Cricetulus griseus: one gene and its partners. The protein of the gene in region 2 interacts with the protein of the main gene of each other region in a pairwise test. Links are inferred from orthologs where the notes say so. Each region holds a gene or a part of one and is shown on either strand. Other genes may lie near its edges. The genes, in order: Gpkow, Sh3gl1, Mta1, Sh2d4a, Fam102a, Dppa4 and Mal2.

Region 1 (3,774 bases), on a different chromosome or scaffold from region 2:
GGGGTATAGGGACATCAAGGAGAAAGTCTCACCAGCACTTCCTCTCAAGGGTCATTGTTCTCCTGGCAAAGGCCCCATTTCCCATCCACCTCCTTCAGGAAGCTCCTCTCAAGCACCCAGCCCACAGCAAAGACACAGCAGAGTCAACTGCCTGGCGTTCATAGCAGAGGGGAAGAGCCGCAAGGACCTCTAAGCGGCCCTACAACCATTACTGTTCTGTCTGCCTCTCCTTTGCTCACACCCCAACCCTAGTCTCCTATCTGGCAAAAGAGAGGACCATCACTCCAAATACAAATGGACCTCCTGCGGGTAGGAATTGCTTTCCATACCCATTTCTTGCTGCTTAGAGAGGATGAAGATGCAGGGTACTAGATCAAGCACTTCTCAAACTGAACAAACTAGTTTGGGGATGTGGCTCTGTGGTAACAGTGTCAAGGCTCTGGGTTCTATTCCCAGCACTACCAAACAAACAAAAAAATGAATAAACTAGTCTTGTCCCTTCTCATGCCTGACCTCTGACTGGAAGTCCCACACTGCTTTTCCTTCCTCCAGATATAGAGAAAGCCTGCCTGACACCATGCTTCCCAAGTTTCCACCAATGAGTCTCACCTGGCTGTGAGGCGTGGCTATCAAACTCCTGCTGGGAAACAGGTTGTAGGCAATACTCACTAACAGTCACAATGCGGTTACCTACTGCCAGCCGAACCATGGCCCGTACATTGTCAGGATCAAGGCCTTCTACCTAAGGTGGGAGGTAGGAATAAGGCAGAGGGTGAATGGACTACAGCTGCTAGTTCTAAAATGTCCAGCCCTTACCTCTAATAGGTTTGAGCTCTCTGTGTCTCTCTTACCTTGTTTGCTTTGTTTTTGGATAGAGGTTCTCACTATGTAGCCCTGGCTGGCCTATAACTCAAATCCACCAGTCTCTGAGTGCTGGGATTAAAGCCCAACTGTATGCTGTGACCTGTTATGGCTAGGACCATGCATGGTTCCTTTATCTCTACTAAAACTATAACTCCTAAGAAACAGGAGTAGGGGGCTGGGGAGACGGTTCAGAGGTTAAGAGCACTTGCTGCTCTTCCAGAGGTCCTGAGTTCAATTCCCAGCAACCACATGGTGGCTCACACTCATCTGTATTGAGATCTGATGCCCTCTTCTGGTGTGCAGATATACAAAGAAGCAAAATGTTATACTAAATAAATAAAATCTTTAAAAAAAGAAGAAGCAGGAGCAGGCATGTTCCTGTATCTCCCTTAGCAAAATGTAAAACAAAGACGTGTGTGTGTGTGTGTGTGTGTGTGTGTGTGTTTACATACACGTAGCTACTATTTGTGTGGTGTGTGCATGTGTATGTGGAGGACAGACGTCCATATCAGGTGTCTTCCTTGAGTGCTCATCACCTTATGCTTTGAGACTATGTAGCTAGCTCACTGGCCTGAAACTTACTATTTTACCAGGCTGGCTTCAACCTCACAGAGATCTGCTTGCATTGTCTTTTGAAGTGCTGGGATTAAAGGTGTAAACCACCTTACTTCTTTGAAATTTTTAGTTCATGTGTGCATATTTTGCCTGCATGTATGTGTCTCTACACCATGTCATGTGTATGCCCATTGTCTGCTGAGCCCAGAAGTGGGGGTTGGATCTCCTGGAACTTGAGTGACAGACAGTTGTGAGCTGCATCGTGGGTGCTGGGAATCAACACGGGTCCTTTGGAAGAGCAGCAAGTGCTCTCAATGGCTGAGCCATCTCTCTAGCTCCACCTTATGCTTTTTTTATCTTTTTTTTTTTGAAACAGTGATCTTGGAGCTCATTGATTCAGCTAGGCTGGCTGGCCGATGAGCTCTGGAGATCTACCTAGAGTCTCTACTCCCCAGCTTTGGGTTATAGATGCATGTATGCCTGGTTTTTATATGGGTGCTGTGGATCCGAACTCATGTCCTCATGGTTGCATGCTAGCCAATCATTTTCACACACTGAGACATCTCCCCACCTCTCATTTTTTTCAAGATAGGTTCCAGGCTAGACTAGTACTTGTCATGTAGCTGAGGTTGGACTCAAACTTGCAGCAATTCTCCTGTTTCAGCTTCTGAGGTACTAGGTTTGCATTAATAAGCCACCATGTTTGCTTCAGACATCTTTTAAACACTTATGTTTCATGGAAATTGTGGGATATGGCATTTTCTCCCTTTTGGTTGAGAACTGAGACCCAAAAAGGCCCAGAAAATTGTTTTGGAGTGCTCACTGAAGCAGTGGGCCAGGCAGGCCTGTAAGATTAGGATTTATAGGGCTGGAGAGAGAGCTCAGCAGTTAAGACAACTATTTCTCTTGCAGAGGACCTTAGCTCAGTTCCCAGTATCCATGCCAGGTGGCTCACAAACACTTGTTAATCTAGCTCTAGGGGGAACCCAATGTTGAGCACCCACACTTACCTACAAATACCTACACTTATTTTTGTTATTTTGAGACAAGGTATCATTATATAACCTTAACTGGACTGGAACTCGCCATATAGATCAGGCTGACCTCAAATTCACAGAGATCTGTCTGTCTCTGACTCCTGAATGCTGGGATTAAAGACATGCAATACCAGGCCATGAAGAAAAATAGTACCATGAAGAGCTTTGCATTGTGGGAGTTCCTTCCTTTCTCACTCCCTGGACATTTTGGTGCCTGCTCTGGTTGGGGGCTGTCCTGAACATAAGAGGAAGATGGTGGCCACAGAGACAGAAAGGTGTCTGGAGTCAATCAACTCTAGGCTCTAGTTTGTTATAAGTGAAAAATAAATGCTGGGATACAGGCAGACTCTGAAGATGACAAAACAGGGCAAAGCAACATTGGTTATCCTTACCACCAACTGCCAGCTTTGAGGCAATCTGAAATAGAATACTATGCCATATTGACCAAAACTGGTGTCCACATTGCTAGTGGCAGTAATATTGAATTGAGCACAGCAAGTGGAAAGTATTACAGTGTATTGCACTGGCTTGCCATGATTCTGACATTATTAGAAGCAAACCAGAACAGATTGATGAAAAGTAAACCAGAAAGCAGACACATGTAGAGGCTCAAAGTTGTCATCAGGTGTCTCCCTCAGCTGCTCTGCACTTTCCTGAAGCAGGGTCCCTTGCCAAATATGGAGCTGGCCAGTTCAGGCTACTATAGCCAGGCTGCTCTGAGGATTCTTACTTCCTCCTGAATGCTGGAATGGCCTGCAGCTGCCACTTTCCTGGCTTTTATGTGGGTTCCATGGTCTGAATGCCAGTCTTCAAGTTTGTGTAGTAAGCACTTTGTCCACTGAGCCATCTCCCCAACCCCTTCTCTTGTTTTTTGACACATGGTTTTGCTACATAACTAAGACTGGCTTTGAACTCACAACGTAGTTCAGGATAGCCCTGAGTTTTCAGTAATCCTACCACCTCAATCTCCTGAGTATGTTACTATGCCTATCCTTTGTCTTTCCCCCCTTTCATTTAATTACATTCTTTAAATTTCTGAGATTATGATATAATTCCAACATTTCTCCCTTCCCTTTCCTTCCTCCAAACTCTCCCATATAGCCCTCCCTGCTCTTTCAAACTCATGGCCTCCTTTTTTTCCCCCGAGAGAGGGTTTCTCTGTGGCTTTGGAGGCTGTCCTGGAACTAGCTCTTGTAGACCAGGCTGGTCTTGAACTCACAGAGATCCACCTGCCTCTGCCTCCCAAGTGCTGGGATTAAAGGCGTGTGCCACCAGCACCTTGCTCATAGCCTCCTTTTTACCAATTATTATTGCATAC
Region 2 (3,774 bases):
AATTCCAAATATTTATGAGAGCCTGTGATGTGTGATAAGGGCCTGTGATGCCTCCCTGGGCGCAGCAGTGATTCCTATTGACACCCTGCTCACCCCACATCCGAGTATTACTGTTTGAAGCAGTGGAGACCTGTGTCTGGCCCCGAGACATGCCACTAGCTTCAGGGACCAGGATACTCCATGGGGCAGTGGGTGGTCACCTTCTTGCATGTCCTCTCCAAAACCTGCCTCTGCCTCCCACCCAGCCCCATTTTATTTTTTTATATTTATATTTATATTATTTTATATTTATTTTATTTTATGTACATTGTTGTTTTGCCTGCTTGTACGCCTGGAGAGTCCCACGTGCTGCTCAGTGGGCCTGCTCTGTCCTTGGTTGCTCCCTACCAGGAACCAGACATCAGGCATGGAGTAGGTCAAGATTGGGCGTGTGGGGCTCGGTGGTTCTGCTCTGCAGGGAGGTCTGAGGTGGAAGCTGAGAAAGAAGGGTGGCTGTGACTCTCCAGGCTCAGGCTACCGGCAGCCCTAAGGTCTCCAATTGAGGACACAGAGTCTGCCTGTGGCAAGGACAGAAGGCTAGGCTGCATTCTCTCCCTGTGAACTGATGACCACTAGGAGTCTGGCACGGCACCCACACACCTCTCTACCCTCTATGTCCTGTCCACATAGATGCTGCTGCTCCTTCTCTCCCCCAATCCCTGTGCTTTCTGGGCCAACACGGGTTCCCAGTGTCCTGCGGATGCTGTGCCTATCATGATGCTTCTGCTGGTAAAGTGAGGCAGGTGAGCCTCTAAGAACACTGTTGTGTCCTTCAGAGTGTCCCAGTGCCCTCCTGCATCAGCCTGCCTCAGACTCTCCAGGCAGCTCTTAGTTGTGGGCCAGGTTCCTCCCTCCCCCCCACCCCCAGAACAGGCTGAGCCCTGGTTGAGAGCTGTGCTAAGGAGCAACAGAAGGATCTGTTAGCTGCTATACATGAGGCATGGGTGCTTAGGTCCACCAGACAACATGGCCATCCATAGACATTTCTCATGCTCTGTGGTATTGCACAGCAGGCCTCAGTTTGACCCTCCGGTGACTGACTGGATACAGCATGGAGCTGCCCTGTGCCCACCCTCCCCTTTCATGTCACTATCTTCGTTGCTCAGACTGAACGTCCTGTGGCCACTAAGCCACCTTTCCTAAAGAAACATGACTGTCCAGGGGTGGTGGCCAGACCAGGCAGGGTGTCAGCTCACATGTTCCTCCCAGAACCTTCACTGTGCCTAGCTTCTCCTGTCACATATCCCGTCACTGTACTTAGTTTGGCAATGCTGGTGCAGAACTGGGGGTCTCATGCATGGGGCAAGGTCTCTACCCAGTGGCACTCTGGTCACTGTGATCCTGTTGGGAGGCCTACCTCCCTGCTGTGCTTGCCCCCACTCCAGATGCCTGGTTTACAGGTGACATTGTCAGCAGAGCTTGTGCCAGCAGGTGTAGCTCCTGTGCTCCTGGACAAATCTGTGGAAACAAGCTGGCCGGGGATTTGGGAGCAATCTTGGTGCATTTTGCCTTGGGCCCAGATCCCTGGTTGTGTTGTACTTAGCCAAGATACCCAGTCTGTCCCCCTGAGGTGACTGCAGTAAGGCAGCTCTTAGCAGGGGTGATGTCCCTGCTCCCCCCACAGGCTGACAGCTCTCTGCTGAGAACCTGAGTGTTTGCATGCCAGCCACCATGCAGCTGCTGCTGTGCTGTGGGCAGCTGTGGTGGGTCCCACACACTTGTACACTGCACCCTGTTTCTGTCTCTGGAGTGCAGGTGGTGGGAGGCAACATGCCCATGAGCTACAGAGGGCGCTGATGGTCCTCCTGCAAAGAGACCCAGAGTATGAGGGTACAGCCTGCTCATGACATGTGTGGTGGCCAGTGATGTGGGGCCCCCAGATCATAGGTCACAGGAGATGGGAGCATTAATAGAGCAGCCCAGTATGCTCCAGGCTCTCCTCTTCCTGCCTGACTGCTCTCCCTGAGACTCTGGTCCCCTGGCCCAGATGCTATCCCCTGGAAGCTATGGCTCTGCCTCACTTCTCTGCATTTACCAGAAGAGCAGGGCCTCATGGTGGGTGACATCCTGCTTTTGCTCGCCCAGAGAAGCGAAACAGGGCCGTGAAAGTCAGTGGGGCTCCCTGTGAATACCCAAAGGAGGTAGCCAGTTGGGCCTGCCCTGGGGAGGACATAGCTACAGGGACACCCCCCACACACACTGTCTTCCTGTCTCTCCCTACCCTGAGTCTTATCCACTCCTCTGAGATGCTCTGGGGAGCCCAGAGAGCAGCTCTGTTCAGTGGGCAGACCAGAGAGCATGGAGGCCTTCAGAACGCTGTGGGCAACTAGTCACAGACACAGGGCAGGGAGGCCACTTCCGGTGGTGCCTCTCTGCAGCCTCCCTACTTCCTGATGTCTTTGGTCACTTCCTCCCAGGCCACCCTACAAAGTCCTTACTGCCTCTGCCTATGGTATGGGACACCACATGGCACTTGCAAATCCCTTGCCCACATCAAGCAACAGCTCAGAGTCGGGAGCACCATGGCTATGGCCCGTGAAAGCCTCACTGGCACCCTTCTCTCAGGAGGCTAGCCTGCTGTTCTGCATATGGGGTGTGTATGCACCTCATGTGGGGGTGATCTGGACAATGACTGCCCTGCTGGTGCATCCCAGGGCCTTGGGTGTGATAAGTGAAGATGGCTGTGGTGGGCAGACTTGGGGAGAAATGGGGCCTTGTGCTCCAGAGAAGTGACACACACTGTGTCACATTCAGATAGTGACACAGGCACTTGGGGCTCCCTACCATGTACCTGAGGCCAGCCCAGGGCAGTTGGCTCTGTCCACCCTGCCCCAGGCTCTCAAGTTCTGGCTTCCTTGAAGGGCCATCCTTATCAGGTGTCAGTGTCACAGTGCAAGCACTAAGGATTCAGGTACACAGGAGTCTCCTGAAACCTGCAGTACCCTCATGTGCAGGACACGGAGTACAAGCTGGCATGGGGCCTGCTTTGCCTCTACCAAAGTGACAGGGTCGACCCAAGAGCTGTAAAAGGTGGACAGTCCCCACGGGGTGCTGGGCTGAATCCCAGCACACCTCAGCCCTTCTCCCGGTCTCACCCAGACTCCCCGTCTGCCTGCCTGTCCCAGAGGCTGCATCCTTGGCAGGCACAGCGGGTGTCCCTCCTGTGCCCTCACATGCCTCCCTCCTTCTACCCCAACAGCTGGTCAGCGAGAAGGTTGGCGGGGCCGAGGGGACCAAGCTAGATGATGACTTCAAAGAGATGGAAAAGGTAGGAGTCCCAGGCACGGTCTGCAGAGCTTCTGGAAGACAAATGGGCCTAGACCGTTCTGCCTCGGTGTCTGATGCTCCAACACTGGCTCTCTTCGCAGAAGGTGGATGTCACCAGCAAGGCCGTGGCAGAAGTGCTGGTCAGAACCATTGAGTACCTGCAGCCCAACCCAGGTAGGTCACCCTGAAGTGGTGACCATGGACCTCCCAGCTTCTGCTTGCCTCCACACACCAGGGTCCCTTCTGCTGACTTGCTGGGCTGATGTACAGTGGGGTCAGGTCTTCCCAGGCAAGGGTGAGGCAGGGGCCATGGAGTAGTACCGTGACTGTGTCCTCTACTATCTCCATGGTACTTCTTCCTGAGGAGGCCTAAGGGAGGGGGCATGTGGGATTGGTCCCTTCTGTGAGCTCCGGAGGGCTTTGGTAGACACCCCCTGTCACCCAGGCTGTCTGTTCCTTTGCAGCCTC
Region 3 (3,774 bases), about 83 Mb from region 2:
TTCCCAGCCATGCAGGGTCTCAGGCAGGTCTCACCAACAAGTCCATGGCTGCTCAGACTAACGGCGCATGTAGCAATAGCTGAACCACCATGTCAACTATTTCTGGGCTCTGTATGGCAGGAGTGGAGAGATGACTGGTATCCCTACAGAGCAGGTTCACAGCGAGTGACCCGCGTGGGGGGGTGGGCTGAGCTCAGGACATATTCTGCCACCCTGGTACTCTCAAGCTTCAGTGGCACTCCCTGGGGGCACACAGGAGATGGGCCCTGTTAGGCCAGCCTGTACCTGGGAGCCTCAGGCCACAAGGATAGAGCTGAGGCAGCAGAGTCCTAGGGGCAGGTCCCAGGGAGGAAGAGGAAGAGGGGAAGGAGGATGCGGTGATGACGTGAAACCGGACACACCTGCTTCTTACCTGACTACCAGTGTTCCTTCCAACTGCCACATCCTCCAAGTAACTGACATGGCAGCCAGTTAGCCTCGGAAACCTGACCTTCCCAGCAGTGGTACTGAACACCTCTAGGGGTGACATCTCATGGGTAATACCCAACCATGTGCAGAGTGACCCTACATAACAACTACTTATCCCACAGGCGGAAAGCCCACGAAAGCCAGCAGCCAGCCCTGAGGTCACCTGAGACTGTGGACAAAGAGGGCCTGTCTAGGCTTCTGTTTTCCACGTGATACCTATGGAGTTTTTTTTTTTTTTTTTTTTTTTTTTTTTTTTGCAGGTATCTGGGATCCTGGAAGCAGAAGTGCTCACCAATTCCAACCATCTATCCTCTCAGAGTCGGAACCTCCACACAGGGTCATCTTGAAGGATTGCCTATCAACACCTGAAGTGACTGATAGGATCCAGACGAACGTCTCTGAACCCTGGTGGCAGGGTACTGTGGGTAGGGAAGGAGCTGCAGTGTAATTCAAAGGGCAGGCATCATGCCAGGCCAGGCCAGGTGACAGAAGGATGGGTCTTACCTCACGCTCCAGGTAGGACTTGAGCGACTCGGTCTCATTGAGCAGTGTGACACTGCACTTGCCCCTGGAAGAGAAGGGTGGGTGGGTGAGTGGAGGAGGGCCACCTGAGGCAGCAGGGTCACCAGGTAGGGGTGTTAGAACTACCTGATGTGGGTGGCAGGCAGCGACTCCAACTGCCGAGAGAGGAACAGTTCGCGATGCCGCAGCTGGTGCTTGAGTTTCTCAGGCAGGTCCACCATCTCCGGGTTCTCCACCTCTTCCTCCACTTCCCCTAGAGAACAAAGAGGCCCTGTCAGTCATCCCTGAAGATGGCAGCTGAGAGCCCCAGCCCCCAAGCTAGTTCTCCCTCGTGCAGGGCACCAAGCACAGAAGGGCCACTTTCCTGCCTAGCACATCTCATGCCCATTCCAAGGTGGCTCGCGAGCTCTGGGCAGGCCCCATAGATGCCTTGGAATCCTGGAATATAGGGCTCAACATCAGGATAGGAAGAGGAGGACAGTGTTCAGACTGGCCTTAGAAACAACAGGCAGAGAGAGGCAGGAAAAACATGGGCACACTACATATTCAGGACGGGAAGTTTCATCTGCCAGCCTGAGGCCAGACGGCCCCCGCACAAAACACAACAGATTGCCTGCGCTAGCAGGGTGAACCCTTGAGGCCTGGGCCACAGCCAAGGCCGGGCGGGCTACAGGCTGAACATAGGGAATCCCAGCCCTTAGCCGGCCGGCAGGGGATGCAGGGATGGGCATGTAGGCAGCCCATCCAGGATACATCCACCTGTGTGTCACCCGCCCCAACCCAGGGACAGCCGCGAGGACACCCTCCTTGCAGAGGTCGGCTCTTACCTTCCTCGCCGGTGTCCGCCCCCGGTCCGGCTCTATAGCAGACTGACAGGGCTACATAACAGACAGACAGCGCCCAGATGGCAGGTTAGGGCCAGTGCCAGCGCTTGCTCCCTGCCCAGGGCCCGGACCGAGGAGACATGGGGGCCACAGGCCTCCCGACAGAGGACAAACACCACCCAGTGAAAGACTGACTACCTGTGCTTCCTGACCGCTCCAACACAGGAGCTACCCACCCGAGCGAGACACATCCCTCTTCTATGAGTGCAGCTCTTGTCTGCCCCAACCAGAATGCTCACACATATTCTACCAATCAGGCCCTAGCGCCTCTCTAAATGGCAAGAACAGGAGTCAGGGGCCTCCAGACAAGACTGCCCAAAGAAGGGCAAGAAAATAACAGGACAGCAGGAGGAGGACAGTGACTTTTGGGAGAAGCCCAAGCTATACCAATGTCGCATTTAAGCACCTCAGTTGGCTTGGCTAATGCCCACTACCTGGTATCAACAAAATATTCCTTTGCCTATCCCAGATCCCCAAATAGGGGAGTATGGAACAGTGTGTATAATGACAGCCCAGGCTTGCCTAGAGTGTCCAGCAGGGGGACAGCCCTGCCAACACCCACAGCTCCAATAAGCCTGCCAGACATGGCTGCTCTCTGTTGCCCCCATGTGGTGACTGCAGAGTGCTCTGGCACTTTTGGGAGGGGAATCCCTAGCCTTAGGCATCTTAGATGAAGGCTGGGAGGTTTGTTCTCAGTAAGACTAGGCCCCAGAAGTCTGGGGCATCGCCACTGAGCTATTTTCCTCCTAAACAGGGCAAGCAGGTCTGTTGAGAGCAGCTCCTGCACAGCAGACACGAGCTGTGCACACACACCAGCTAGAGCTTGCAATGTCAGTTGTGTGAGGCCCAACCACCAACTCAGAGGTTAGCTTTTGTGCACACCCACTCTGTATTATACAGCACATCTAGGGAAGACAGCCACACCCTCACTGGGAGAGGGTCCTGTGGCCTGCATCAGTGTCAGGTCCAAGTACAGTCGCTCACAACCCTGACACAGGCACCAAGTGGCTCCAGGATGCCCCTCATCTCTTCTAGACCTGGAGCAAGCCAGACCCTATCACAACCTCTGGCCCCAGCTCTCCCTAGAGACCTTCCAATGGACAAAACCGACGGCAGGGGGCACAGCCCCAACCGGTATCCAAGCCTCCCCACCCCAGGTCCAGAAGCGCTCGCTGGCTTTGTGCTCCCGAGCCACCTCCAGTGTCACTCTGCTAAGTCCTAACCTTGCTCTTGCGGGTACTGGGTAGTGTGGCCAGGCCACATTTCCCTCCATGGGCATCTGGAAGGGGTTTCTGCTCCGGGCACACCACAAGCTACATTGTCTGGCTTCCATCTGAGGGCAGTGCTTGGGCTAGACACCCTGGCAGGGCACCAACTGGGAAGCCAGAGGCTCTGTGACCACAAGGAAGGGCTCCTGGTCTCTAGCTCTTGTGTAATGGCTTCCTACTGTGGAACCAGCGGAGTGTGTCCCGGCTACAGGGAGCTCTATGTAGTCAGAAGCAGCCCAGGGACTGGAGCACTTGGCAGTCACAGCAGGTCCTGGTACCTTGATGCCTGCCTCCTTGGCCTGATGAAGCTCACCGGAGGCCTGGCCAGAGATGCCCAAGCAGCTTTTCTGGGAGCACAGTGTGTGTGTGTGTGTGTGTGGGGGGGGGGTGGGGTGGGGGGTGGGGTCTGTAGCAGTAAGGCTCTGACTGCAGCCATCCTTACAGTAGGTCACTACCCTTCGGCAGACCATTACCCTCCCTCCATTTTGGTGGACACAAGGTGGCCCCAACTTTACTGCAGACTAGGACTCACACCTGCAGGGCCCCAATCACATCAAACATTTATAGTGCATGTAGCATATGTACCTACAGGCCAGAGCATGGATAGACTTTGAGGTCAGGGGTTGAGGGAG
Region 4 (4,286 bases), on a different chromosome or scaffold from region 2:
CTGAGTAGGAAGCCTCAAGGCAGATAGGTAAAGGGGAAGAGCTGCTATTAAGATGGCCTTGTGAAGACATGAGACAGAATGAGTGTGGAGGTGGATAGTCCAGGGTCCCATAAGGTTTCAGCTGACAGATGGCCCACTCGCGTAGTTCCTTAACTTCCATCCAGGGAGTGTGAGGGCACTGACTGAGCAGATACAGCCCTAAACACAGGGGGACATGCCAGCCTAAAGCACCTCACCGGCCATGCAATCAAATGCAGTGGAGAGTAAGCCCTGGGCCAGGAATCCTTGCCTGAATGGATCCCAAACACCATTCCTAATGGCCTGAGGCTGATTCCTGAGAATGTGTGGCATGACCCCTACCTTAAGGTTTTCCAACTCTTCAGTTGGCAAAGCTTAAGATAAACAACATCTGGGCCTGGCATGTCAGGCTTCTCGATTAGTTGGTTGGACAGGCTGTATAGAGTCACACCATGCTTCTCTTCTTGTATGGCACTTCTCTCCACACTCAGAGTCTGCTGGGGTCCTGTGTCGTCGCCGCACCCCCCCCCCGCCCCCAGCGACCCAGCACTGTTTCCCTGAACACATCCCTAACATTCTTTCCCAGAGGCTTGTCCACCTTTCCATGCTGCTGAGCTTTGCTTTGAGATTTGCTGAAGTTGTGCCCTGCACCACCCTGGTCCTCTTCTGTTAGTCACAGGGTTCTTCCACCTTTTATTTTTCCTTTCTTCCTCTCCCTGGCTGTCCCTGTCTCTAGTGCCTGGAGTCTCCCACATTCCAGCCTTTCTCTTCCTTGATCGTGCAGGTAAAACCACACCTGGGGTAACAAATGCTTCAGTGTTTGATACTTTACTTAATGTCAACAAAAGAGGGGGGGGGCAGTAAGCTGTAGAAATGCAGGGGCAGAACTGGAGAGAGAGCCAAGTTGGCCTGCAGGACCCAGGTTCCCAGAAGGGCCTACCCACCTCCACAGGCTCCACCTCGCAAGCAAATTGAGTGTGGAAAGGGCCAGCTGTAAGACGTTCTTCAGACCACTCTGGGATGAACAAACCATCCCAGGCTGCAGACAGCGCTCTAGGTTAACTAAGGATTGCCTTACTGTTGCTGGACCAAGGCAGCCAAGCCTAGCCTAGTGGCTCTGGAGTGTCTCCAGCTCCCGGGTGGGGCCCAGAGGGAGCGCCCAGTCAGTCAACCCGGCATGTGGGCGCGGCGGGGCGGGCCAGGGCTCAGAGCTGGACGCTGAGTGTCCTTCTGGGCCCGAGTGTTTGTCCAGCCTGCCCGCCTGGCTGGGTCTCAGCCTGTCCTCCCTTCTCTTCCTGGACAGCTGCGGGAGGCAATCGGAAGGTGGCAGGTGCTTGGGCCACCTTGTTTGGGGTCCTGAACAGGTAGGTGACTGGGGTGAGCGGGCAGTGGGACTCGGGAGGTGGGTCTCCAGGACAAGGGGAGAAGCACAGGGGCCAGGGCTAGGAGGGTGGTGAGACCCTGGTCCCCGCGCATCTGTCCCTTGGGTCCCTCCTCCACCGCGCGCGCGCAAGGCGGGCTCAGGTGCCCAGAGGAACCGGCGACCACGGTGTCCGCCGGTGTCCGATGTCCAGTATAGGGTGTCCATTGTCTGCAGCCGCGGCATGGTGAGTGACGGCCGAAGGACAGGGGGCTTGAGATCTTTGTGACCGATATACCGAGTGCCAACAGTGAGAGGAGAATCTGAGGCGACTTGGCGTCTTTCGGGGGAAGTTGTGCGGTCCGGGCAGTGTGCTTGCACACGCGGTGAGTGAATGTTTACACCGGCCCGGGGCAGGTGCAGCCGGCGGAAGCCACCTGTGAGGGTCTTCGCCAAACTGCAGCTGCGGGGTGCCGGCGGCAGTATCCGCAAATCAGCCAGGGGTCTCTCCTGGCCCGGAGACCTTCCAGAGAGCCCTGAAAACCGGTTTCAGCTCACGCAGAAGTCCATGAGCGCGTTCCCCGGCAGGGACATCCTTGCGCGGGCGCCCCCACGTGGTACAGGAAGGGGCGGGCAGTGTCGCTTCCCTGTGGTTCTGGATCAAGGCTGAAGTCAGAACCCGACTCCAGTTGGCTGCACCAGGACTTTCCTGTCCTAGGGGCTCATGGGTCTTAGGTACGATCTTCAGATATCCTGGGAACTTAACCAAATTCTGGATTTTAGACATTTTTAGAGTGAGCAACAGGTGTGGCTTGTTGCTTAATTTTTCCTTTGCAAGAACAGCCCTACAGGAGAAGAAAAACAAGTTAGTTGAGCTGCACTTTATGTTGGATCTCAAACAACTGCACTCAGTATGACACCCAAACATGACTGGGTGAATTAGTGGCCGCAATGAGTGTCCCGTCGCAGTGAAAGTAGGAAAACCCCTGGCTGGTTCATTTCCTCATGTTTATTTCCTGTACTTGGCTCAATAACTTCAAGGTAGATTTTGTCTCACAATCTATGAGTTGCAGAGATCCCAAGATTAATTTTTGGGAATCTAAGTCCAAAGATGAGAAGTGACACCCCCCCCCCCCAAAGTCACAGCTCACGGGAGGCAAATCTGGGAATCTGGGCTGGTGTCCTTTGAGGTATCTGATGAACAGTCTGCTATAAGGGAAACCTTGAAGAGGGTGGCAGAAGAGTCATCCAGAGTGAATCAGCAGTGCAGTGTGGCACCCACAGTCAACAGCCACAGACACTTGTATTCTCAGAGGACCCCAGGAGTCACTTGTCTTTTTTCCGAGAATGATTAAGGTGGCCCTGGTGGTCAGGGTCTATAGTCCCTGTTAGGTGGGAGACAGAGGCAGTCAATATAGAAAGGTGAAAGCCTGCCTAGCCTATTCAAAACTGGCCTGGGCAACTTAGACTCTGTCTTAAAGTATAAAGTAAAAAGAGGCCCGAGGGTGTAGCTCAGCAACAGAGAAATTGCCTAGCATGTGCAAGGGACAGGAGTTAAACCTCAGGACTACAAAACAAAACAATCTGACTAGTTAACCTTAATGCTTGAAGTCCATGTTTGTTACGCAAGGTAAAACAAAAAGGGTTTGCACACTTCCTTACAGATGTGCTGTGGAAAGGAATATTGTGGAGACAAAGTATCTGGCAACCAGAAAACAAGAGGAAGACATATTCAACACTGAGCCAGTGTGGCAGTCGGCTCTGTGCGCCTTCCTGGATGGGGTGTTTTCTTCTCTGGCCTCCTCTAAGCTTATCTACAGTTGATTGGTGTTGGCCTTCTTGCTGTAGGAGAGGAATCTCCACATCTGCAGTTCTCTTCCCAGAGAGGTTTTCTGGTCTTTGTTCTGAAAATTTAAAATTGGTGTCACACAGCGATTGGGCTTGTGAGTAAACTTGTAGCCGCCAGTCACTGCAGTGGATATGGTCACTGCTGTGCTTTAGCCTCCCAGTGTCTTACAAAGCTGTGAAATGGAACTGGCCTCTTGGAGTTAGAGTGGTGAAGCGAGTTGACTTAGGCTAAGTATTTACTTTAGTGCCTGCAATAGTGAAGTGTTGGTTCTGTTATCAGAATACTCTGGGTCAGACTGGGGGAGGAATGGGCCCTTGGCTCTTTGAGGGAGTTAATTTTCAGCTCTCCCCTGACCCTCTAATGCTATTCATTGGATTAAAGATTGGGGATAGAGTAGAAGCTGCAGCCACGATCCATTGCTAGTTTTCTATCCTGTTCTGTGGGCATCAACCCCCGAGGCCATGGAGTGTAGCCATTTATGGAGGCTTCCGGGAATTTCAAGGAGTCATTTACTTTATTTACTTACTACTTTACCTCAGGACGTTGGACTCACATATGCCAAAGAACCAGATTCTTTCCGTGGGAGAAGAATAGCTTCCATAAACCTTCCTTTAGTGTGGACTTGATTTACTCTATTCTGTGAGAATGTGCTAGAACCAAAATATCGTAAGACATTGACTCTGCACTGTATAACACTTTGAAGACCATCTCAAAGCATATTTATATGCAAGCTTAACTAGGAGCCCTGACGGGGGTATGCATGGCCAAGTTACAGTCGTGGCATTCTTTTAATGCTGTTTAGCCTTCCTCTTAATATAGTGTTCCATTTGAATTCCAGTAGCAACAATACATGTAGCTTCCAGGCCCCCTGTACCATCAGTAATTAGAGAGCCTAATGCTGCAGATGTCCTGCGGCACCTGACTACTGACTGAGCTTGTCTCAAAGGACTGTGTCCAAGAAGCCACTTTACAAGGAAACAGTCAATAAAGGGAAAGAAAAAAAGGATTAAAACCCACAAGGATGGGAAAGAGGCAGGGGGCATCAAAGACTTACTGTGG
Region 5 (4,456 bases), on a different chromosome or scaffold from region 2:
GGTCAGGTGGAGTTGAGTACCAGTTGTTGCCATGGCACTCAACACACTGGAAAACACCAGCCAGGAAGGTAGGTGTTGCAGGGGTGGGGTCTAGGACTGCTGTCAGTCTGATACCACCCATGCTGCCAACAGCACATCAAAAGATCCAGATGTCCCTGGGGTTGGGAAGATGTGCTGCCACATCTAGGCCCAGGATCTAAGCAAGTCCAGTCACCTCAGTCCCTACCCCAATAAGCTCACAGCAGTGGAGGGGTGGCCCAGGCTCCTGGGCTAAAGGATCAATGTGAGAGGGGTGTGGTAGAGGGAATAGCAACCTAGGAACCCCCACCCCCTGGGTAAAAGCCCACAAAAGCCAAAGCCACTTCAAAGTGGCTCAGGTTCCAACATCACTGCTCTCTACAGCTACAGCTGCAATACCCAGGTGTCTAGAATCTAAGTGCTCAGCCTTGGGCCTCAATGCCAGCTATTTCTCTTTAGCAAAACAAACACACACACCACACACACCACACCCACCCACCCACACAAGGCTTTATCCAGGATGGGAACTGGGAAAGGCTGCCTAGGCTCAGCTGGGCTCAGAGAATCTGGTCTTTTGCCAGGAGGAAGAAGGGGAAACAGAGGTGAAATCCAGAGCCATGTGTGCTAAGTCCCAGAACTTTCCAGACTTTCCAGGATGTGGGGGCAAGTTGGGGCAAGGGAAAAAAGCTGACGGGTAGGGTCTTAGTGGCTAGCTAAGGATCTAGGCAGATAGGTGAAACTGCAGCATGCGCTTGGTGCAAATTCCTTGGTACAGTTGACAAAAGGACCTCTGCTAATTAAGAGATGTCGTCCAGTATACACCACCCCTCCCCCCATCCACTCTCCAACCCCACCCTGAGTCAATGAACTGGGGTTAGAGGGAGCTGGGGTCTGGGCCCCTTACAATATAGTAGCTACTGTAGCACCTTCTCTAGTCAGACATGGTGCACTCTCCACCCCCCTCACACTGAAAGGTGGGTATTACTTCCCCATTTTACAAAAGAGGAAACTGAGGCTCAGAGGCACAAGGTAGCAGTTAAAGCCACCCTCTCTGAGCCTCTATTTTCATCTCTGTAAATGCTCCCCAGACCCCACCTCTACTGCTCCATGGCCCAGTCAAGAGGTTAAGAGGAGCTAGTAAAACAGCAAGCAGAGCACCAACAACTGCTGGCTCTTGAGATATGGGATCAGGGAGACTCTGTAATTCACCCAGAGCCTGAAAGTGGCTGACTCCAGGCCCATCTCTGAGCACAACCCTCTGACACTGTGCTGTTTACAGGCTTCACGGGCTGCAGACTGTAGCTACCCCACCACAAAGGGCACCCCTTGTCCAAATTCCTCAGATAAGCAGCTCCGAGCAAAACAGGAGGCTCAGTGCATAGAACAGGCATTTCACTCTATCCACACAGATTCCAAAATCTGAATCAGGCCACATAGCTTCTCTCCTCCCAGCAGATTCACCCAACAGGTCTCCTAACAGGCAGTTTGGCTGACAACTGTCTCACTCAAGGTCCCTGGCAACTATTTACTTCCTCTTTCTGGAGCCCATTATCCCAATCAGTAAAACACACCTCTGAGATCTCAGAATAGTGAGGCATCTCCAGCTAACTAAGCCCACAAAACCTAAGGAACAAAGGGCAGACTAGGTAAGAGGAGGAGAGTATCCCAGGCCTTGGGCCAGGTGCTGTATTGTGGGCCTATCTACTGCAACTTTTTTCCATATCTCTGATGGAGAAATCTGTGTGATCCACTGTGCACAAGAGGGAACAGGAACCCAGAAGGAGCCAGAACTTGACTCCCCTTCCTCATCAGTTGGACTCCAAGGGCCTCAGCAGGCAGGCTAGGACTGTGTGGCCCTAGTGAGATCAATCTGCAAAGGGTAGACTAAGAACTTGGATTTCATTCAGAAATAAGCTGGGAAACTGGACCTACCAGGATGGGGAGGACATAAAACCTAACTGGTCTTTCACAGAGGAAGGCAGTCTTCTGGCAAGGACGTTTGCAATGCAAAGCAGCCCAGCTTCAGCCAGTGGAGGGCAGTCACTCAGAGGGGGCTGGGCAACCCAAAAACCTGCCACCACCCTCAATCAGATCCAGGGAGTGCCTGGGACTGGGTTTTCCCAGCCATGAGGAAAATGCCAGAAAACCTGTGGCTGGCCTAAGCTCTCAATCATATGACAGCCACAGGGGCCAGCTTGGTGGTAAGGTGGCCTAGGGCACTCCTACTTACTCCCTCAAAGAGCAAATTTCATTCAGTCCTCTCCATGCAAGTTTGCAAAATGGGTGACTTGGAGAATGCATTCAGGGCCCTAAAAGGTTTCTGGCTGGTAACCTGCAGATAAGCGCCTGGCACAGTGCCAGCCCCAAGTACTGCCTCGAGCAAATCTTCCCCCAGACACGTATAACGCCCGGAAGTCCCTTGCCGTCCCGACCTGAGGCTTCCACATTTACCAAGATCTCATTCAGCAGCACCCCCCCCCCACACACACACACACAGCCTCCCCTGCAAACACAAAAGCCTCAAGGCCTACCTGGACGACAAACTGACAAAATCCCCGCCATCCAGCAGCCGGACTTTGCAAAAGAGGACCCCGTTCACGAAGGGGACCGCAGTCAGCTCCTCCAGGGTGAAAGTGGTTTGGAATTTGAATTTCTTCTTCTTCATCAAAAAAGCCATGAGCGAGTTCCCTGAGTCTTAAGCCCGCAGGGCACAAAAAAAAAAAAAAAAAAAAAAAGAGGGGATCCCAGAAATCCCCAGGATTCCTTTCCCTATACCACACCCCCCTCCTCAAAAAACACCAGGGCCGGATCCAGTCCAGATGGCGGCGGAGGCTGCGGGGCAGGAGAAGATCTGAGTCCGGAGCCCGGCGTCTGGGAGACCAGTCCTGTGGGCCGGCTACTTTCACCTTCGGGGGGCCCGGGCTCCACCGGCATGTAAACAGCGAGGCGCGGCCCCGGCAGCGGGCGGCTCGTGAGCAGGCAGCAGCATCCCGAACCGCGGGACCAGGCGGACCGGTGAGACTGAGACTGCCGGGCGAGCCGCGGGAGGCCCGGGCTGCGGCCCCGCCTCCGCCCCGCTGGCGGCCGGGGGAGGCGCCCAGCGGCGCACACGCCTCCGCACCTGGCGCCCCGCGGCCTGCGCAGGTGAGGCCCCGGGAAGCGGAAGCCACCTCAGCGACCGCCCGGGCTCCGCAGGGACCTCTCCGGGAGGCTCTGCCGGGCGGGGAACCTGGCCGGTCGGCCTCCGGCTCAGTCCCGGGACCCACGCCGCGCCTGCTCTGACCGAGCCTGAGGCGCCTTCCGACCCAGCCGGGTGGCTTCTGCCTCGTCCAGCACCCCAGGATCACAGCGGCGCCGTCGCCCGCACCACCGGACGCAGCCGGCTGAGCCCGACGCACCTCGGCGCCGCTCGGAGAATGCCGAAGCCCCGGCGCGGCCGCCCGCCGAGCAGCGGCCAAGCGCGGCAGGGGCGGGACGCTCGAGCCTCACAGCCCACCCGCAATTGGACGGACCGACTTTACAAACGCCAATTTCTACTGGCTGGCGGTGGCGTGGGGCGGGGCTCGAGGAGGCAGAGCCGGTTCGGGGCGCTCGGATTGGTGCACTCGCGGAGCTGAACCCGCCTCCTTGAGACGAGCCGGGGTGGGGGGTGAAGGGGACGGAGAAGGGTGGGAGGTCGCGGGTGGGGGCCGGCACAGGCAGGAGCGGGAGGAGAGCGCGCGCGAGGCCAAGAAACGAAGAAACAATGACTTGGAGAAACCATCTGGAAACTAAGGCTGGAACGACCTGCCCGGGTCCCGCCAAGACCTGAGCTCGTTGAGCAATAAAGCAGGCTGAGGAGGTAGTGAACCCATTTCTCAGGAAAACGACCCTCTTAAAGAGGTGGCCCAAGATCCCAGCAGGTCGTTCTTGCCTCTGAATATGACAAGCGTCTGCCCTGGCGTTGCCGTTTGTGAGGAGCCCTGCAGCCTTATGACCCAGCTTGCCTCGTTCCAAGCTGTTATCTAAGGCTTTTGTTCTTCAGTTTCTGGGATAGTTAGCGCTAGATTAACTGCTCTGGAGGCAGAGGACACTTTGGGGAGCCTCGTTCTCTCCGAGCCATCGGCGTTTTGTAATTCTTTGCATCCGGTCCGCCAATGTGTAGGGGCTCTGCCTGGTGGGCTTCTCTTCTACCCCTCCAAGCAGAGCGGATCACAGGGGGCTACAGCCAATTGAAGACCTTAAGTAGACGTATGGGAAAGTCAGAGGAGGCGTTGGGCTTTTGGTTTGGGAAGGAAACTCAAAGGAGGGGTTTAGTGACGGCCACCCGAGGCCTGAGGGCCAGGCAGCGTGGTACTAACAAAGTTTTGAGCACCCCCCTGGACGAATTCTCATTTGAGAGAATGGAAGATCAGCCTTGTCGACCAGAGTAAAGAGGGAGCTACCATCTGTTTTGTTT
Region 6 (3,304 bases), on a different chromosome or scaffold from region 2:
CAAATGAGATCCGGTGTAATATTTTACAACAATAGAAAACAAACCCAAGAACTGCACACTAACAACATACTACAACCTAGGAAAGAGGGCACACAGAGGCTACAGACACAAGCTGAACTTTAGAGTGGACCACAGAACTGGCTATGACCCTGTTGTGCCTGGGACAGGGCAAACAAGTACTAGATCTGGGAATGCCATATTCTTGCCCCAGGTCCTCCTTGCAGCATAACCAGTAGGACACTTTCTTGTCTTCACACAACAGTAGGTATAACCATTTACAGTGTCCAGTCACCATAGTGGAGAGAGATGGACCTGGTGTATTTTGGTGGCTGCACTGGCTCTTTTCCCAGGCTGCTTGTATTACAGCAACAACTAACAGTGTCCCATAGCTTCTGGGTGATAGGGGCACCTTCACGGGCACAGACGTGGGTTTCCATCAGTCTCAGTCTTGGTTGTGGTTCCGTAGACCACTCCACAAGAGTGGGTGATGACAGCAGATAGCCAAACCTGAGATCCTCCCTTTAGTCGTGGAGACTCTTATTTAAGACCTTGTTCCTAGAAAACAAATTTATCCACGGTTCATTCATTCATCATTTCCTCCTTCCACACCTTACCCCCACCCCCCCAACACTGAGACGAGACAGGGTCTCATGTAGATCAGATTGGTCCCAAATTCCCCATCACCCTGCATACATTTCTCAAGTGCTGGGATTACAGGTATGTCGTACTCAGATAATGAACCAGAACCAGGAAGAATCACCATTTTATTTTTGTTTACTTATCTAGTTTTTTTTTTTTTTTTTTTCCTGGGCACAGGGTTTCTTCTCTAACAGCTCTAGCTGTCCTGGAACTAGGCTGGTCTACAGAGTTCCAGGACAGGTTCCAAAGCTACACAGAGAAACCCTATCTTGGAAAAAAAAAATTCATTTTGACTAAACAAAGATGGTTGATTTTTAAGACAAAGACTATGTAGATCAAGGTGGCCTTGAATTTGTAGATAGTCCTCCTGAATGACAGGTGGACACCACCACACCTAGCTCAGTTGACTGTGAAAGAAACCTTCCCTAAGAACCAGTTTCTTTCACCATCTGATATCAAACCTACTCAATGCTCCTCAACTCTAATGAGACAGATTTAAGAAAAAAAAACTTTAAAATTATGTCTCTTATGTGTGTATATGAAGATGCCACGATGCACATTAGCTGATCAAGGAACAACTTTTGTGAATTGGTTCAGTCTTTCCACCACATAGGTCCTGGGAATAGAATTCAGGCCATAAGCTTGGCAGTGGATACTTTTTTTTAACTGAGCCATCTCCTGCCCAACAAGAGGACTCTGAGCCCAAGCCTAGCCTAGCTACACAATGAGACCTTGTCCTCAAACACAACCAAAAGCTGGTAGCTAGACTTAATGATATATACTTACAATCCCAACACTTGGGAGGCAGAGGCAAATAGACTGCCCCAAGTTGGAGATTAGCCTGATCACACAGCAAGTGTCAGACTCATAAACACCTCGAGCTGTGGAGGCTACTTACCTGAGCAAGACAAGAAAATACTCAAAACACAGCTGATTAAAAGCTCCCACTTTCAATGTGTAAGCATAGCACTCACCTGTGAATACATCTGGGGCACAGAAGGTTGTCCTCCAGGTGTGGGGGTGGGAAGTTGCAGGCTGGAAGCAGGAAAAGGGCAATCACTTTTCCCTTCTTGTCAGGGACCCAGACTTGTCCACCGTGGAACTGCAGCCGAACCCAACCTTTTGTGCTTTCAGTAAAGCTTCTCCCATGAACCACACACCACAATTCTTCTGTGGAAGTTAAGAGAGTTAACACGAGTCACATACTCAGGCACAAGACTGAGCCAGGCCTTGGTGGCGCACGCCTTTAATCCCAGCACTCGGGAGACAGAGGCAGGCAGATCTCTGTGAGTTTGATGACAGCCTGGTCTCCAGAGCGAGTGCCAGGATAGGCTCCAAAGCTACACACACAGAGAAACCCTGTCTCAAAAAAAAAAAAAAAAAAGACTGACCAAAGCCTTCCCAGTACTTAATGACTCCAGGACATGCCAGGCCTGGAATAAAACTGGGAATCCAACCTTTATCTCAACCCATCTTGTTCCCTTGTTCCCTACTACAAAAGCATGCACGAACTCCCAGATAACCAAAGGCTTTTTTTTTTTTTTTAAATGAATTAGGTCTACGGGTCTCACTGTGCAACCCTGGCAGGCCTGGATGTTAAAGATATGTGCTTCTGTGTGCCAAGAGCTGAGGCTGGGCCCTCTACAAGAGCAAGTACTCTCAACCTCGGAGCCATCTTCCAGCCCTCGACTAAGACCCGGCACCCACCTGCATCACACTAAGCATGATTTTTCCTTCACTGAATTTTCTGGTTTTTGAGACAGGGTTTCCTCTGTATTGCTTTGGAGCCTGTCCTGGCACTCACTCTGTAGACCAGACTTGCCTCAAACTCAGAGATCCACCTGCCTTTGTCTCCTGAGTGCTGGGATTAAAGATGTGCACCACCAATGACTCACATTTTCTGTTATTCTTACAACATGAGCTCTCTGTATTTTGAAAAGTCTTAGGTAGACCAGGTTGACTTCAAACTTCTGGTCCTCCTACTCAGGTCCTGGGTTCATAATCTTATGATATCTTATATTGGTTGTTTTTGTGTGGCCACTTGACACAGCTCCTTCATGAGAAGGAGCCTTGGCTGAGGAAATGCTTTTTTCAGATCCAGGTGTAAGGCATTTTCTCATTTAGCAACCAACTACGGAGGGCCCAGGCCATGGTTCTGAGCTCTATAAGCTGGACTGAACAAGCCTCGAGGAGCAAGCCAGTAAGCAGCACTCCTCCATGGCCTCTGCATCAGTTCTTGCCTCTGGGATTCTGTCCTGTTTGAGTTCCTGTCCTGACTTCCTTCAGTGACGAACAGCAAAACTGAAGCGTAAGCCTAGTAAACCCTTTCTCCCTCAATTAGCTTTTTGGTCATGGTGTTTCATCATAGCAATAGAAACCATAACACAGACAAGTCTTTTCTGAGTAATGTTTATTTTGTAATGAGAAACGGGAAATTATTGGTGTCACCTACTTAACAGATGTGAAGAGATCCCAGCCTCAATCCCAGAGAGTTTTTTAATGAAAGGGGAAAGAAATGACCTAAAAGCACATGGCTTCCTGCTTGGTGCGTGAGTAATTTGATGTAATTCTCAAAGTATGATTCCTTGGATCAGCATCCTCATTATTGCTAGGGTAGCTGTTAGAATGGGTGTGGTCCAGGAATCACTGGTGGTGGTGACTGATT
Region 7 (4,486 bases), on a different chromosome or scaffold from region 2:
AGTAAAGTGTTTGCATTTTAATCCTGAAGTCCCAACTTCAACCCCCAGAACATACTAAAGAAAAGCTGCAGAGGGTGATGTGTTCTCTCAGTGCTATACAGGCAGAGCCAAGCGGATCCCTGGCCAGCCAGCCTATTCTGCTTGGCAAGTTACAGGCCAGTAAGAGATCTTGCTCATCCTGATCCCTATGCCCAAAAGAGTCCAAAGGATAGTGAGATGACTCAGTGGGAACAGTGCCTAATGTCAAGTCTGAGAATCTGAATCTGACCCCTGGAACCCGCATGGTGGAAGTAGAGAACTGATTCCTGCAAGTTCTCCCCTGACCTCCGCACAAGCGTTGTGGAATGGGTGTGCCCTCTGTTCCCTCAATAAATAAGCAAAATATTAAAAAAGAAAAGGTGGACAGTTCCTGAGGAATGACACTCAATGTTGTTCTCTGGCCTCCATATACACTTAAACACACAGGCACGAGGATACACACACACACACACACACACACACACACACACACACACACACACACACACGTGCAAGTCCAAATGGCTTTGGGAAGAGACTCCTCTACTTTGATAAGAGTCTAACCCGTGTCAGGGTTAGGTAAGTTGCCAGAGGAGCGGCTAAGAAGACTAAGAAAGCAGGAAGTATGTGGGATACTTCCCCACACTTCCAGAATCTAATCCTCCTATCCATCCTAATGAACAAAAAAACGTTCTCCTTTCTGCAGATCCTGGTCCAAAGGCACTATCAGTCAGTTGCAGTTATTCTGTGTATTGGGATCTCCAGGGAACTTTAAAAAAAATTAGCTGACTCTGGGTGCTCCCTTAGAGACACTGGTTTAATTAGTCCAGGCTGGCAACAGTACTTTTCAAAGCTGCCAAGTTATTAAATACAGCCAGAGTTAAGAACTAACTACTGTGGTAGATAGGAAAAGGAGATATGGAGCTAGAAGGAGTTCAATAAGTCACCTTCAGAACTAGTGTTCCATAAATGTGCCACACCGTCAGGTGGGTCCTGAGTAGCATTTGTTTTGATAACATGTGGGCAACACTTCTATGCATATGTTTCCATATACACATGTGTGTATACATATATATATGTATATATATACATATATGCCATGTATATGTATACATACAAGTTAATTGTATAAATATATTTGAATAACTATTAGAAATGTATAACCAACATATCAAATTTGAGATGCAATGTATATTACTGCTGAGGATGAAGCTAAGTTCTAGCCAAAGGTTAGGCAGCAACTCTACCACGGAGGGCAGCTTTTCAAGCGTTCTTGGGATTTGAACACAGGTCCTCACAATTTTGCAACAAGTCCTTTACTCATTGATCCTTTGTCCTGGCCCCTGAAAATGATAAATTTTGGTGTTAATGTTTTCAGCCTGAGCTAAAAGGCTTGGTTTTGCAAGATCAACTTTGTATTAAACTTAGGCAAATATATGGTAAATATGTAACAGGGAAGGATAGCTTGGGCCAACACCGAGGGGCTGGCAAGTTAGGAGCTCAGTGGTAGACCACACCTATCTCAAGACTAATATATATAGCATCACTGTCTCATTCCTATGCCGCTGTACTGGGCTTAAACCCGAACCCACACCAGGGTCTTCTAGACTCACAGTCAGTCTGATCCCAGCTGCCACCGCCTCTGCTTTCCGATTCAAATCGGAGCTAAACCTAAGGTGGCTTGGCTACCAAAGCATAGTGGGGCAGAAAACCAAGGCTCCCACGGTTTTCAGCTCCACAGCACAAAAGGGAAGCCAGAGTGACCCAGATCCAGGTTATGCAAACTCACAGGAGGATGAGTGACATGAAAACCCTAAAGGGAGCAAACAAAACCCGCCTGCAGGAAAGGCCCTGCCTTGCTAACATTTCTTTCTATTTGACATTCTCCGGGCATGATGCAACCCCAGTTGCCCAATTTATATTTACACATCCCCCTTGTCCACAAGGAGCTTCGAAAGCTCCCAACTGTACAGCATTCCTTGCCCAAGTTCAAGTGTCTAGTTCCACAAGGTTGCAGGGCGGGCCTGTGACTTCAACTTTCCTAGGTACAAGCGAGGTGCTCCGAGGAGGTTTGGAATTCTCAGGTAAACTGAAAATGGACAAGGGGCAAAGGCGAGAGTTGGAGCTGACAGCCCCACGTCTGTCTTCCACTTTTCCCCACGGTTGGTTCTCACGGCCTCTTGATTACACACTGCCAACGGCACCTACAATCTCACCGTCCTCCCTGCCCCGTTCTTCCCCAATCCAAAGGGCACTGACGATGGCAAGGGTGAGTGGGGTGAAAACCATACCCAGGCTTCAGCCTCCTCCTGCTCCTCCTTTTCCCTGGCGCCTTCCGCCCCGGCTTTCCACATCCTACCAGCTTCCTGGCCACCCAGTCATCGGTACACCTTTGCACCACCCAACAAAATGGCAGGTTAGCGACAGGAGGGGCCGAGGGCGCCAGTTCCTCCACCAGGCAAGCGTAGACCCTGTCCAAAGCCCAGTCCCCGCGACTCCTCCAAGCGCTAACACCCCTCTCCTGCCCAAGTCCCTAATCTTGGGCCCTTTGCCTGCTCGCACTCTAGGGGACATTTCCATTCCAGGCCGGCGAGCAGGTGGCCGCGTAACAGGTGCCAAGCAAAAAGGCCCGGACACAGAGTGGAGGGGACCCCGAGACCGTGGGCAGGAAAAGGCCACTTCCAGGAGAAGGTGATCGCCGGGGGGACCAGACCGGGCTGGGGGCAAGGATGCTGCCTTGCCTGTCCCTGCTCCCCGGGGCTCGATCGTCGCCTACGCTGCTACCCTACTCACAATCTCCAGGCAGACGAAAGCTCCCGAGTAGGTCCGCAGGATGTCGGGGCCCACGGGCAGGGTGACCCGGGGCGCCGGGAAGGACACAGCGGGGTTCGGGGGCGGCGGGACTGCCGCTCCGCCGGCCGACATGCTGCCGCTGCTACGTCTCCGCGCACAGCCGCCACCGCCTCCCGCGTCCGCCTCCGCCTCCCTCCCGGGCTTGCCGCCGCCGCCGCGCCGCCGCGCGCCGCCGCCGCCGATCCGGTCCGCGGGGTCCGGGCGTGCCGCTCGCCGAGAGGGCGTGGCCAAGGGCCCTCTACACAGAGCCCCGCCCCGTCACGTGGGCGCAGGTGAGCACGTCCCCGCCCCGGCGCCCGCAGGGGTCACCCGTACAGGTGCGCGGTGCGCTCCGGCTACAGGGCCACCAGCTCGCCCAGGCTCTCGCGATCACCTGCTGCCCCTGCGCTAAATGTCCCGCGGGTCCCACCTCTCCATCCCACCCCACTCTCACCCGGGCCTCACCCTCTGTCCCCAGTTGGGCAGGAAGACAGAGACTGTGACTCAGAAAGCAAACGCCAGTCGCCAGGCACACCTGGAAAGCGGGATGCCTGTTTTAAAGGGGACTGTAATGGAATTTTCAAAGATGTCACCAGGGTCGTGTGGCACTTGGGAGTCGATGGCTGGCCGTAGGTCCCCGGAGGGCTGCTTTGAGGTTTCCTACTCTGTTCCGGGAAATCCCTATGAGGATATCCGCCAGTGAGGGACAGAAAAGTTCAGTGCCCAGGAAGCGCTCTGTAAACTGTAGCTTTTAGGACGGCAGCTACTTTTCCAATCCCGAGATCTGTATCATTGCTCTGTCTACAAACGATGTCAGCCGCATCACGTTTCCACACAGACCCTTTTCATTTAGCCCTCACACATGTACTCTTTGACACTGTCTTTTAACACTCAGCAGACCAAAAAAAAAAAAAAAAAAAAAAAAAAAAGGATGCTATGTATGAGTCCCTTGCCTCAGTTTACCTCGTGCGTTCCCATTGTAGTCTTGGTTTCAGTGTTAATGTCTGTAAGTGGGACAAAGGAAGGGGCATTTCTCAAAGGTCATCTGAAGATAAGTTAAATGACTCACATCAGCACACAAGTAGATCCAGTGGAAAAAACAATAGCTAACCCTGGCATGGCAGCACAAGCCTGGAATAGCAGCGTTTCATAGGATGAGGCCAGAGGATTGCCCTGAATTTGAAACCAGAAGGCTGCAAAACCGGTAATAGGACATCTAGGGATACCTAGGGAGACCCAGTCAAGCAACAAGGACACACACACACACACACACACACACACACACACACACACACACACACACACACACACACACTATCAGACAGTCTCCAAACTGAGTCTGCGAGTTGCTCCCTGCCTGGGCTGTCAGCAGGTTTTACCCTACGTCTTTATTGTTTTAATGAGCGAAACTCATAGGTGTGGTGGTGGTGGCACCAGAGGAAAAGCCACAAAGCAGGGTGTGGATGAAATCCTTTATACGTACCTCCTGTCACCTAGGGAGGTGATACCTGTTACTCACCACTTCCTGGCATTTTGTGTGTGCTGTTTGTCTCATAGGAAACCTCGTGCTTTCTGCATCGATTTGTTTGACCGATGAACTTTTCTGTAGCCAGACCCTGATTGGCAAGGACTTTTC

The links.
Region 1: the proteins of Sh3gl1 (region 2) and Gpkow interact in binary tests that used the Homo sapiens proteins (3 or more experiments, as listed by UniProt). The two-hybrid records come from large-scale screens. The link is inferred for Cricetulus griseus from reciprocal best matches to the Homo sapiens genes SH3GL1 and GPKOW.
Region 3: the proteins of Sh3gl1 (region 2) and Mta1 interact in binary tests that used the Homo sapiens proteins (3 or more experiments, as listed by UniProt). The two-hybrid records come from large-scale screens. The link is inferred for Cricetulus griseus from reciprocal best matches to the Homo sapiens genes SH3GL1 and MTA1.
Region 4: the proteins of Sh3gl1 (region 2) and Sh2d4a interact in binary tests that used the Homo sapiens proteins (3 or more experiments, as listed by UniProt). The two-hybrid records come from large-scale screens. The link is inferred for Cricetulus griseus from reciprocal best matches to the Homo sapiens genes SH3GL1 and SH2D4A.
Region 5: the proteins of Sh3gl1 (region 2) and Fam102a interact in binary tests that used the Homo sapiens proteins (3 or more experiments, as listed by UniProt). The two-hybrid records come from large-scale screens. The link is inferred for Cricetulus griseus from reciprocal best matches to the Homo sapiens genes SH3GL1 and EEIG1.
Region 6: the proteins of Sh3gl1 (region 2) and Dppa4 interact in binary tests that used the Homo sapiens proteins (3 or more experiments, as listed by UniProt). The link is inferred for Cricetulus griseus from reciprocal best matches to the Homo sapiens genes SH3GL1 and DPPA4.
Region 7: the proteins of Sh3gl1 (region 2) and Mal2 interact in binary tests that used the Homo sapiens proteins (3 or more experiments, as listed by UniProt). The two-hybrid records come from large-scale screens. The link is inferred for Cricetulus griseus from reciprocal best matches to the Homo sapiens genes SH3GL1 and MAL2.

The regions. Positions count from the first base shown.
Region 1 is NC_048604.1:114,166,824-114,170,597, reverse strand, and holds part of Gpkow (G-patch domain and KOW motifs-containing protein), read right to left. Parts: intron 743-3,774; coding exon 610-742; intron 1-609. UniProt on the Homo sapiens protein: RNA-binding protein involved in pre-mRNA splicing. As a component of the minor spliceosome, involved in the splicing of U12-type introns in pre-mRNAs.
Region 2 is NC_048598.1:97,526,735-97,530,508, forward strand, and holds part of Sh3gl1 (endophilin-A2), read left to right. Parts: intron 1-3,238; coding exon 3,239-3,307; intron 3,308-3,407; coding exon 3,408-3,480; intron 3,481-3,770; coding exon 3,771-3,774. UniProt on the Homo sapiens protein: Implicated in endocytosis. May recruit other proteins to membranes with high curvature.
Region 3 is NC_048598.1:180,931,737-180,935,510, forward strand, and holds part of Mta1 (metastasis-associated protein MTA1), read right to left. Parts: intron 1,869-3,774; coding exon 1,818-1,868; intron 1,244-1,817; coding exon 1,117-1,243; intron 1,037-1,116; coding exon 973-1,036; intron 1-972. UniProt on the Homo sapiens protein: Transcriptional coregulator which can act as both a transcriptional corepressor and coactivator. Acts as a component of the histone deacetylase NuRD complex which participates in the remodeling of chromatin.
Region 4 is NW_023276806.1:245,041,963-245,046,248, forward strand, and holds the start of Sh2d4a (SH2 domain-containing protein 4A), read left to right. Parts: upstream 1-1,253; 5' UTR 1,254-1,382; intron 1,383-4,286. UniProt on the Homo sapiens protein: Inhibits estrogen-induced cell proliferation by competing with PLCG for binding to ESR1, blocking the effect of estrogen on PLCG and repressing estrogen-induced proliferation. May play a role in T-cell development and function.
Region 5 is NC_048599.1:144,254,158-144,258,613, reverse strand, and holds the start of Fam102a (protein FAM102A), read right to left. Parts: upstream 3,034-4,456; 5' UTR 2,696-3,033; coding exon 2,550-2,695; intron 1-2,549. UniProt on the Homo sapiens protein: Key component of TNFSF11/RANKL- and TNF-induced osteoclastogenesis pathways, thereby mediates bone resorption in pathological bone loss conditions.
Region 6 is NC_048597.1:42,771,394-42,774,697, forward strand, and holds the end of Dppa4 (developmental pluripotency-associated protein 4), read right to left. Parts: intron 1,818-3,304; coding exon 1,614-1,817; intron 556-1,613; coding exon 522-555; downstream 1-521. UniProt on the Homo sapiens protein: May be involved in the maintenance of active epigenetic status of target genes. May inhibit differentiation of embryonic cells into a primitive ectoderm lineage.
Region 7 is NC_048603.1:797,636-802,121, forward strand, and holds the start of Mal2 (protein MAL2), read right to left. Parts: upstream 2,944-4,486; coding exon 2,812-2,943; intron 1-2,811. UniProt on the Homo sapiens protein: Member of the machinery of polarized transport. Required for the indirect transcytotic route at the step of the egress of the transcytosing cargo from perinuclear endosomes in order for it to travel to the apical surface via a raft-dependent pathway.